Linked DNA regions of Arabidopsis thaliana. The protein of the gene in region 1 interacts with the protein of each later gene in a pairwise test. Each region holds a gene or a part of one and is shown in the gene's direction. Other genes may lie near its edges.

Evidence for each region.
Region 2: the proteins of YAB3 (region 1) and KAN interact in binary tests that used the Arabidopsis thaliana proteins (3 or more experiments, as listed by UniProt).

The regions. Positions count from the first base shown.
Region 1 is NC_003075.7:72,026-77,116, reverse strand, and holds YAB3 (Plant-specific transcription factor YABBY family protein), read left to right. Parts: upstream 1-1,540; 5' UTR 1,541-2,027; coding exon 2,028-2,141; exon of another isoform or gene 2,142-2,228; coding exon of another isoform or gene 2,229-2,249; coding exon 2,250-2,420; intron 2,421-2,689; coding exon 2,690-2,849; intron 2,850-3,409; coding exon 3,410-3,458; intron 3,459-3,593; coding exon 3,594-3,669; intron 3,670-4,049; coding exon 4,050-4,127; intron 4,128-4,238; coding exon 4,239-4,313; 3' UTR 4,314-4,572; downstream 4,573-5,091. Other genes in the region: AT4G00170 (Plant VAMP (vesicle-associated membrane protein) family protein), read left to right, coding at 5,032-5,083. UniProt on the Arabidopsis thaliana protein: Involved in the abaxial cell fate determination during embryogenesis and organogenesis. Regulates the initiation of embryonic shoot apical meristem (SAM) development.
Region 2 is NC_003076.8:5,406,334-5,413,549, reverse strand, and holds KAN (Homeodomain-like superfamily protein), read left to right. Parts: upstream 1-1,783; 5' UTR 1,784-2,457; coding exon 2,458-3,187; intron 3,188-3,291; coding exon 3,292-3,368; intron 3,369-4,250; coding exon 4,251-4,296; intron 4,297-5,173; coding exon 5,174-5,321; intron 5,322-5,875; coding exon 5,876-5,984; intron 5,985-6,083; coding exon 6,084-6,185; 3' UTR 6,186-6,687; downstream 6,688-7,216. Other genes in the region: AT5G16550 (voltage-dependent L-type calcium channel subunit), read right to left, coding at 6,909-7,066, 7,176-7,216. UniProt on the Arabidopsis thaliana protein: Transcriptional repressor that regulates lateral organ polarity. Promotes lateral organ abaxial identity by repressing the adaxial regulator ASYMMETRIC LEAVES2 (AS2) in abaxial cells. Required for abaxial identity in both leaves and carpels.

The DNA.
Region 1 (5,091 bases):
GTAGGATCTTAAGTGATATATATAAGATATGAGCCTTTCCATCTATTGCCAATTGGTTTTATGTTGGAAGCCCACACTCTAATAAACTCAATACAAATACTAAAGTTGCAAACAACTATACTATATTTGCTTGAAGTTCTATTGTGATAGGATTTTGACTTACAAAAATCATATTCTATGTCTACACTATATATTGTGAAACCGGATAGCCATAATATTTACAAAAACTTAAACTAATTTCAGATATAAATAAATTTAAATTTCACTATGACCTAGTAATTATCACGAACAATTGGGAAGTTACCACAAAATGGTGGTCCTGTATTATGGAATTTAGCGAAACCACACACTTGCGGGTAAAAATAATGATGACAAAATGATATACATTGGAATGTAGAGAAAGTATATACAAATACTAATAAATAGAAAAGGGCATGGAATTGACGAGGATCGAGGGAAAGTGTGGTGTGGCAGAAATGTTATTAAGTGTGAAAACAACTGATGAATGAGCCTTTGCTTAATCACTTCCATGCACAAGTCCCTTTCCTCTTCCTCTCTCTCCCACTTCATCGAACTTTGCGTCCTTTAAAGAAAAGAAAAAACAAAACATTTTTCATCCAATTGAATTCAAACCGTAACCAGATTAGATTTAACTTCGTTTATTTTACATTATCTTCTTCTTCTTATTTTGCGGAGAAGACTTGTACAATGACCTCAATACGCTGAAGAGTTGGATTCACTGCGAGTGTATATGTGCATATAGAAACAAAATATCTAGCTATATGACCACTTTTAACTCTAAATATGGGTGTAATATGCCAAGGACTTTCTGGAGATCCACCACAACACACATTCAAGTTCAAGTTCTGCTGCTTTTAGGTCTATGAAAACAACACCAACCTTATTTTCATATTGTTCTCTCTTTATCTCATGCATAAGTATATTTTCATATTGTTCCCTCTTTATTTTCATGCTTTTAGTTGATATTTTTTTTGTTATTGTATTATCATTAGTGCGACGACACAAAGTCACAAACCATGTAACAAAATGCTTAACCAAAATAGAAAACCTTAACAATTCCAATATATTTTCTGTTATTGCATTATCAATTATCATCAAATTTTTTTCCACTGTTGCATTATCATCATTGCGACGACACAAGGTCACAAACCATGTAACAAAATGCATAACCAAAATAGAAAACCTTAACAATTCCAACTTTAACATGTGAATTAATATTATCTTAATTTTTGGATGTTCGACATTCAAATAAACTCCTAATTAAACCCTATAGATATGGTTAATCTTCTATACATGTGTCACGTACGACACTTATTAGCCAAATTGAAGTTTTGTTTTTTCCGCAAATATATAAGCGGTTTAAATAGTTGGTAAAAAAAAAAAAAAGTTAGCATGTTTGTCGTATGTACATGTTTGATGCTGCACAAATCTTGTCGTTATAAAACTTTGAAATCTTTATATCTATTATTCCTCACCGATCGGCTACTAATTCAATGGTACTTGATAATGATAATTAGTCCCAAAGTAGAGTTTTTATCTGATTATATAGAAACAAAGACTAGTTCCGGTTTGATATATAGAAGAAAGAAAAAGGATGGATAGGAATAATAAAGAAGATAAACCGGTTCAAAAGGTAGTAAATGAGAATGCAGGTATGCAGCTTATCTCTACAATGGCCTCTTCATCACATGTCGCCAATTTGTTTAGGTACAGTGTCTCTTCATATTTACATAAATAGATATCTCTCTCTCTCTCTCTCTCTAAACCACATCTTCCTCTCCACCGTTCTTTCTCTTCCTTCTCTCTCTGGACTTCAACTTCTGGAGAAGTACAAGACATTTATAAAGTACTGCTCATCACCCAACACTAAACACAATTGTCAAAAGGGTGTGGTGGAAGGAGAATCTACTTCTATCTGAACATCGATCAGTCATATCTTTTCAATCAAATCAAAGCCCTCCTCTCTCTCTTACTCCTTTTTTGTTTTAAATCAAGAAAAAGACTCCATGTCGAGCATGTCCATGTCGTCCTCCTCAGCTCCAGCTTTTCCACCGGACCACTTCTCATCTACGGACCAGCTCTGTTACGTCCATTGCAGCTTCTGCGACACTGTCCTTGCTGTAAATTTTGGATTATTCTTATATCTCATCTCAATATTTCAAATTTATAACTCTAGCTAGGGTTTCACATGAATTACTAGTTAATTAATGTGTGATATTAATTGGCAGGTGAGTGTTCCTCCGAGTAGTTTGTTCAAGACGGTGACGGTCAGATGCGGCCACTGTTCGAACCTTTTGTCGGTGACCGTGAGCATGAGAGCTCTTCTTCTTCCATCCGTTTCCAACCTTGGCCATTCCTTTTTACCTCCCCCTCCTCCTCCTCCTCCTCCAAATCTTTTGGTACATCGGTTTCATTCATCGAAACAAATTAGGGTTCTTTCATAAAAAAAACAGAGAGTAATAATTAGGGCTTTTCTTCTCGAGAAACGCAAAATTGTGAAACTCAATCCAAAAATGTTTAATTTTGTTAGCATCCCGGGATAGATCTAAGTAGTTTGGCAATGGCTAGTTAACTAGGGTTTCTTTCGAAAACATCATATCAAAGTAGTTTGGTTTGATTAGTGTTTTAAGTTTTTTTTGCCAATTAGTTTGCTGATTTCATTTATTAGGAGGAAATGCGAAGCGGAGGGCAGAATATAAACATGAACATGATGATGAGCCATCACGCTTCAGCTCACCACCCGAACGAGCATTTGGTTATGGCGACTCGCAACGGAAGATCAGTGGATCATCTACAAGAGATGCCTCGGCCACCACCAGCCAATAGACGTAACCTTCCATCTTCTACTCTTTATTTCAACATCTTCATATATATATATATAAGAAAACAAAAACCCTAATTCACAAAACCTTATCCATTCATTTCTTCAACCTTTTATATATACACTCCAAAGAATCTCGTTTGTTTATAATGAATTTATAAGTTTTGATTTCATTTTTGTTCCCTCGGTATGTGACTTCTCGCATGCACTTTTTTTTTGGTCAGAAAACAATTTCGACAACAAAAGGAAAATTAATAAGTGATGTGTTTATCCCCCGGAAATCTAGCTAAACCTATAGATGCCAACTGATATAGTTTTGGGGGTAGATCGTAAGAAAGATAATGATGAAGTGATGATGATAACGAGCAAAGTGAGAGGGAGAGGGAGAGAGAGAAAGGAGGAAGAGTCGAAGAGTGATTGTTTTTTTTTTTTTAATTGTTTTTTTTTGGTGAATTTTTAGATTTTTTGGGGAGGCACAATAAAAACCAATAATGTTTTTTTTAACAAAAGGGTTTGATTTGGAATTAAAATTGAATATGTTCTGTTTGTTTGTTTGTGGAAAAGCAGCCCCAGAGAAGCGACAAAGAGTACCATCTGCATACAACCGATTCATCAAGTAATAAGTTTATTCCTTTGCTTAAAATGGCATAATTAAATTTCCCTAATTAACCATTTTACTCATATAATTAAGGGTCGATAGATGTGACAGATTTGATTTCATTATATGATATAAAAATAAAAATGTTGACAGAGAGGAGATCCAACGTATAAAGGCAGGCAACCCTGATATCAGCCACAGAGAAGCCTTCAGTGCTGCTGCCAAAAACGTACCATTTCTTTTTTTAATATATAAAACTAATTTTCTATATTGCATTATATCCATAATCATACAATCTCATTTTAGTCTTTATGAATTGAACCTAGCTAGATTATTGTGGAGCTACATTGATACTCACATTGCTTTAAATTAAAAACATAAAACAAAATAGTTACCGTAATAATCCATAATTCATAAGCTTTATCCAGCATACATTAGCTAGGACTAGCCTTAGGATCTACGATCTAGGGTTTCAGTAAAGTTCCCTAGCAGATATTTTAGTCTGGCTTTGTATTCGTATATTTTTGACCAAGTTTTTATGTTATGTATAAGATAAATACACATTAATGTTAAAAGAGCTAAGTATATGATGTAATATGTATGAAACAGTGGGCTCATTTCCCTCACATACACTTTGGACTCATGGCTGACCATCCTCCCACGAAGAAGGCTAACGTGCGCCAACAGGTTACTTACTACTACTACACTATATTTATTTATTCAAATGTATATAATCAGGAGCATGCATGCATTGATCATCAAAACATAATCGAGATATTTTATTTTGGTGTAATGAAGGAAGGAGAGGATGGGATGATGGGAAGAGAAGGGTTTTACGGTTCAGCTGCCAACGTTGGGGTGGCCCATAACTAGCTACGAAGACTTTCCCAATCTTTTGTAATCTTCAAAATGTGGTTACTTTCAGCTCAAACTTAACTTTCTTATTACTATTTTATGATATTTGATAATCGATCAGGAGACCTTTTTTTTTTTTCTTAAAGAAATTTTCGGAACTACTAGAATTTTCTCTTGGAATTGAAAATATATTGTTTTCTCAGTTGCCGTGTTATATATTTAATATCAAAAGCATGCAGTAGCTAAGCTAGCTAGGCTTTACCATACGTTAATGATACTGTCTTTTTCTCTTTACAATTCCATATTCGAATTTGATTTGTATATAACATATTGGGAAGAATCATCAATATGTATTCAGCTCAAAAGAATTCAACAAAAAAAAATGCCTATTATCAATAAAAATTCACTGGGCTTTAGAAGGCCCACAATAGTATAATGGATCCTTTTTGTTGGGCTTATTTCAGTCAGGGAACAATAGCCTTGATTTTGTTGGGCTAACCGCTAACGCATTAAAAAAATCACGGTCAATCGGTGATCGTCAAATCTAGTTACGTGGCATTTAATATTTAAAACTACAAAATTTACCAGTCTTGGCTCAAAAAAATATTTATTCACTTTTCTTCTTCTCTGACCAAAATCAAAATTTGTTCGATTCTCATTCTTCTTCTCACAGTCGTAAACCCTAAAAAAAAAACAGAGAAATCAAATTTCAATCTCGAAGGATCTACAAAGAAGCATGACGACCGGAGATCTCGTTAATATCCATCCTACTGAGCTTAAATTCCCCTGTAAGTTT
Region 2 (7,216 bases), on another chromosome or scaffold:
AATAAGAAAAATATATATTACTGTATAATCAACGAATAAAATCTCACTTATTTAAATTTCCTGATATATAAACATAGTCTTACAATTTATCATATTTTTATTTCAAGGCATTAATGATTTGTCGAGATGTTGTATTGATATGGTCATGTGAGGAGTGAATAGTTTATTTTTTTTCTTAGAAGACAATTTAAAGAAAATTAGAAAAGAGTTATTAAATTGAGAAGGAATATTTGGGAGAATGAAAAGGGAATTAGAAGCAAATATTTAGGTTCTTTAGGGTTCACTTGTTTTTGTTTATTAAGGGAAACAAACAAAATCCACTTTCTGGCTGAGTATTTTCTTAGGTCTAATATATATTTAACTTCACGTATAATCTAAAAGCATGCATGTTACGTTACAATAATTGATCGAATTCTTTATATGACACTTGGTTTATATACGTACGAGGGCACCTTGTATTGTACACACGTATGCATATATGTATGTATTTGAAGAGAAAGATACTTTCTAAGACAATAATTTCCGTACCTTTGGAAGGCAAAACACAGAGTTTATATATTCCAAATTAAAAGTGGGATAAAAAAATATAATAATTCTTTGACAAAAACATACGAATAGTTAAATACTATTCAATTTTGTATATTTTTCATTATTTTTCAGTATGACATATTTCTGTTTCACAGTAGATAAAGTCAACTCCATAATTTTTTTTGTAGAATTATAAACGAACAATGTGAATGTAAAAATGTCGAGTACAAAGAAAACAGAAACACTAGAATGCATACATTATTACATTCGACACAAACAAGTCAAAAATATATATAAATCTGCCTAATTTTATTTCTTTTCAAGTACGTATTTTAAAGCGACATGTATATGACTTCGATTTGGCTCTAATTGATAGACAACACAAAACGGTCAAACAAGTAGCCGGTTGATATTGTAGTCACATCTCTAGGAACTAAATGTCTATACGAGCTATTCATAAACTCAAGAACGTACTGATATTTAATGTATATTTATCTCTTTAGGTATAGTTGAACAATCTACGGTCAGAAACTTGAATTTGTTTGATTCCAAAATCGTATAAGGAATTATTATAATAAGATGTGAATAGAGAGTGAAGTGAGAAGCGAAGAGAGTGGGGGAGAAAATAAAAAAGGAGTCAGAGAGGACACAGTCTCTTTCTCTCTCTCAAGTCTCAACATATGTATCCCGTCGTCTCCGGGGTACCAAAATCAAAGCACTCTCTCTTTTTTTATTTTATTTTTTTTTGGTTATAATGAAACTTTTTATTTATTTTAGAATAGGTCTTGTGTTTGTTTTTTTCTTCTTGTTATTTATTTATTTAATTTAATTTTGGCTTTTGCTTTGACTATAGATTAGATAGGACAGAAGAGAGCGACCCTTTATTCTCTCTCCTCTTGTACTCTTCTCCAACATTTTTAATTATTATTCTTCATGATAATCTGTGAACATTATTATTTTAAAGATCAATTGAGTTTTTGATTTATTACTCAAATTGTTAAGGTTTTAATGGATGATAATCGTATTAATTTTTATTGTTAAAAGTTGTATGCTTTTCATCTATGAAATTGGTCGATTATTAAATACACTTTACATTTGAAAATTTCATCTACTAAATTGATAGAAAACAAGATTTATTTTGCTATTATTCTTCAACTTTATCTATGGAAATCAAAATTTCAGTAGTTTAAACGAATAAACTAAAACATGAAATCAATTAATCTAGCCGTAAAATAATTTATATTATATTGATAGATGGGTTTACTTGTTGAAAGGTGAAAAAGACAAATTGAAATACCATCCCAAAATAAAATAAAAAGCTTCCAATATTTGGAATATAGCGAATGACAATATTACCCTTTCTCAACTATCGTTTTCCAAGATATACTCTCGAGGAACAACATCTCACACATACACATACACATACATGTACATGAACGAACACACATATATCTCTCTCTCTTACCTGTTTTTAATTTTCCTGGATTTAGTTTTATTCCTTTTTTCTCTTCTGCCTTTGCTTCACAACACACATACCTCTCTCTATCTCTCTCTTCCTTCTTTTTCTCTCTCTCTGCGTCTTACTTTGAGCATGTTTGTTTCTTCAAGAAGATCATCACTCAACTTCTCTCTCTTCTTCTAAGCTTCTCTTTAACTTCATCTCTCTCACTTTCTCCTTTCTTTCTGAGATATAGAGAGAGAAAGAGAACAAAAAAAATATCAAATCTTTCAGACACCCTTTTGACTTCTTTGCCTAAAGAATCTCTCTGCTTTCTCTTCTCCTTAGAGAAAATCATTTTAAATTCCTAAGCAAAACCCTCAGGAGAAAAAAAAAACAAAAGAATAGTCATCATCATCATCACCATCATCATCCTTATCATCATCAACAACTTCAGTGGCAGCAATAGCAAGAGAAAGGTTTCTTTAATTATGTCTATGGAAGGTGTTTTTCTAGAGAAAACCAAAACAAACACAACAACTACTCTCCCTGATCTATCTCTCCACATCAGTCTCCCAGATATTCATCAATACCATCACAATGAATCTTCTAAAGAATCTTCAAGAAGATCCTCCCAACTCGAAAACAACAACCGATCGTCCAACTTTGAACTCTCTTTATCTCATCATAACCATCCAACAGCAAGAATCTTCCATTGTCCTGATCGAAGAACCCTTAATCTTCCTCATCAGCAGCATTACAACAACCCTATCATCAATGGTGTTCATCAAAGGGTCGATGAATCCGAGATTAGTAATCTCCACCGTCCAATTAGAGGCATCCCGGTCTATCACAACCGTTCATTCCCTTTCCACCAACAAAACTCTTCATTACCTTCTCTTGGAGGAGGAGACATGGATCAAATCTCAATCTTAAACTCATCTTCCGGCTACAACAACGCTTACCGATCATTACAATCTTCCCCGAGGCTTAAAGGTGTTCCTTTGCATCATCATCATCATCATAATCAGTATGGAGTCGTTGGATCTTCAGATTCGTCTTCTCCTCATCACCATAACCATCATCATCATGGGATGATCAGATCAAGATTCTTGCCTAAGATGCCGACAAAGCGAAGCATGAGAGCTCCAAGGATGCGTTGGACTAGTAGCCTCCACGCGCGGTTTGTTCACGCTGTTGAGCTTCTAGGCGGCCATGAAAGTACACATTTATATCATAATCACATTCTAATGATCATTCCCATTTTTCTTCACTTTATTCTCAAAGTCTTAAATCTTTTATTCTTGTTGTTGTTGTGATTCTAGGAGCAACTCCAAAGTCGGTTCTTGAGCTCATGGATGTAAAAGACTTAACTTTAGCACATGTGAAGAGCCATTTGCAGGTATAATCTATACTCTATTTGAAATTAAATTAGACACAACAAAGAATCAATTTTTATTTGTTAATTTAGGTTTAATCTAGTCGAGTTAGTTCGTTACCAATCAAGATTTTCTATAATTAGGGATATTTCATAGTTTTCATCACCATCATGTCACTCTCTTCTCCTTTGCGTTTTGCACAAAAACAGCTGAATCAAGAAACAAGGTTTTTGTGTACGTATATATCATCAGAGCAATGAATAGAGCTCCAATTCTGATGTGTTACTTTTATTTTCTTGTTTTGTCTTTGCTTTAAGTTTAGTCATATTTTGGAAGAGATGGCACAATTGCCAAGAAAATTGAAGCAGTTGAATGAATTTAAAGAGAGAAAAAGAGAGAGTAGTTATAGCTTTAAGTGACTGAAACCTTTCAGAGAATTATTAAACAATGGAGAATTGAGATGATAGATAGAAGTTATTTTGGATTATAATTCATTTTTTCTTTTTTAAATTAGGAAGAGGGGACAAAAGTAGTCATCATTACTCAATGATAATAATACAATCTTTCTATTACTCAACCTTCTTTCAGACATCAACCTCGTGGTCTTAAAATCATAAATAATTAATTATATATACATCATCAGTTCCAAGACAAACCCAGAAAACCACACATATGTACTACATATATTATTTATTTAATAATATAAAGTTCATATGTGTCTGCATATATCTCTCCAGTTTGTCATCTGTAATTCTGTATCACATTATACAAAAATAAATCTATTTAGTTTATCAGTATCTTTTGTCCGATATTTATTTTGGTTTTTTCCTGTGTCTTTAATTGGATTTATGGTTTATTCTAGTTTTAGAGCTCTCATCATGCCTTTAATTTTTTTTTTTTTGCAGATGTATCGAACTGTTAAGACCACTAACAAGCCTGCTGCTTCATCAGGTACGTGTGATTCCTTTACACACACACACACATATAATGTTATGCATATTCACATTTCTTTAGTATAGCTTTTTTCAGCTTTATATATGCTAAAGAAATGGTACTGGCTTTTAATAAGAAAGATATACAATTCACCAAAAAATAACATAAGACAGATATACAATAAAGCTTAGGATTCTCCACCAGAATTTTATAGAAATGGAGGTCCAATATAATCACTATTATAGCTTTTTTTGACTACAATATTTATAAGAAATTAGTTCTCAATCAGAATTTGAAGCTGTGATTCGATATTTGTATGTATGTAGAGATATAATGACGTGAAATTATTTCTGTTATTTTTACTATTTGATTCTACTATTTCTACTATTCCCTTTCCCCAAAATAATAAAAAACGAGCCCTAAGATATTGGTCAAGCTCAAGGCTTTTATCCTTCCTTTGATTGAACCCTAAAGTTGAGTGGTCAAAGTTCAAAGCAAACCAAACAAACATATATCCCCAATATTGATGTTCTCTAAGAAAAAAAAATCGAGTAAAAGATTAAATTTAAAACGTGTGAAGTGTAAACTCATATCCAAGCAAAGTTCATGAATTAAGAATAAAGAAAAACCACTTGTTTCATATGGATTTTCTTTAACCAATTAAAAGTTTATTTGGCACAATTTTCGAGTCTGTAAAACTATTTTTTGAGACACATATTAGGTTGGTCAACACGAAATGCTGAAATTATTTTTTAAGAAAAACAATTTCTTCACTGCATTGTCTTTTACAAAAAAGCTTACAAGAATCGTTCAGTTTTAAATGAGATTCCTTATAGGGTATAAGTGATTGATTTGAGACAACGAAACTTGATAAAAAGTTAAAATAAAATTTCAGATGGGTCAGGAGAAGAAGAAATGGGCATAAATGGAAACGAAGTTCATCATCAATCATCGACGGATCAAAGGGCACAATCTGATGATACTTCTCTTCATCAAGAAACTGACATTTCTTCCACACAACCTCGTTGGAGTAACTCTTCACGGTACGTTTACGTATATACGTACATGTATTATACACACGATAAGTATATATAAACATTAGGTAAGAATAAGATTGACGAAATTTGAGATAGGGTTTAGGGTTCTCTCACCTAATTGTTCCTACTTCCTACCAAGTAATTCATACGACAATTGTTTGGTTTATCCCACATCTATCCATTTTCTTCTAACAAAAATAGTTTTTAGATGATATTTTAAGTTTGTTTTCGTTCAGTTTAAGGGGAAAAAATTTGAGTGATGGTTTTGGTTACAATGAGATGAAATTGGTTAGGGTTTATGGCTGATGAACTTTAATTATATGTACCAAGTTTTTTTTTTTAATTATAATTTGGTTTGGGTTCTTAAGATTCATCTAGGAAGACTAGGATAAACGAATTTTGCTTCATAAGTATGACATGTAGATTGTGGTCATATAGCAAGTTGCAAAAAAACGCAATTTGTGTGTAGTGATTTTTATTTTATTTTTAGGGCATCTATACATCAATAAATACAATTTGTCCTTAATTTGTTTTCTTTCTTTTCTTAAATCATAAAATAGAGAGACATGGCCATTAAGTAATAACTGCTCAAGCGACATAGATACAATGATCAGAACTTCATCAACATCAATGATCTCTCATTATCAAAGATCCAGCATTCAAAATCAGGTTCTGATAATTCCCATCTAATCATATTTGTATAGATAGATATTGCCTTTCTTAGTGTTTTTTTTGTCCTTTAATCTAATATAAAGTTAAAATTGGCAGGAGCAAAGGTCGAATGATCAAGCAAAGAGGTGTGGAAATCTTAGTTGTGAAAATCCAAGTTTGGAGTTTACATTAGGCAGACCAGATTGGCACGAGAAATGACTTTCTTGATCAATTTGGATTTTTATATATATTGGATTTTTTATTTTTTTGTTTCATCTTTCTCTCTCTATATATACTCAGAAACATGTATGCAGTATATATCTTTGTGACGATGAAATTCTCAGCGTAAAAGAAGGAGAACACGTAGAGAGCCAAGCTGCTCAAGAGTGTTGATTTTTGCACAGAGAGAGAGAATATCACTACCAAAATGAAGAAATTTGGAGGTTCCTCTTCTCAAGTTCCATTGATGATTTGATTATAAAGTGGATGATCAATGTATGAGTTTTTGTTTTTGGGTTTTCGGGTTTTTAGTTTTTTGAGGTTGATCTGGTGGTGTGATCATAAGTTATATAATTGGAAGATCATCAAAATGTGGTGAAAGTTTGGATATTTTTTTGAAAGCCTCTTGGTTGGCTAGAGGGTTTCAAGTTTTTTTTTTTTTTTTTGCAGCCGAAATGTAGAGAGAGGGAGAGATCTGAGTTGAGATTTCATATGGATACTGATCATTATTCTTTCTTAAGTACATAAAACACACAATGTATGCATACATAGATCCAAAAATCCGTAGACATTGATCACAAAATGTTTCAAGTTGCATTTTGAAATATTCTTATCATTCTTTCTCTGCTTCTTCACAACAAACTCCATAGATCATATTTATATCAAGCTTCCATTAACAACCAAAAGTCGGGGTTTATTTACAAACGCGGTAAGGACGGATTCTCAGTTGGTTGATTCGATGTTTACCTCCCGGTCTTGGTGTTGATGACGACTGATAGTGTTACCTGAAATGGCTGATCCCACCACTGAAACCGATTGCTTAGCCAAGCGTAGGCTTCCTCTTGTTCCCAACCACACCGCATAGAAAAACCCAATCCAACCTGATCCAATACCAAATTCATTTCATTCTTCAATACATATAGGAAGTAACTTGGAGTGTCACTCATTACAAGATTCCAAAACAGAATCAGAGCAGAGTATATAACCAACCTGAAGCTATTAAGACAGAAACGACAGCAGAAACTGTAGCG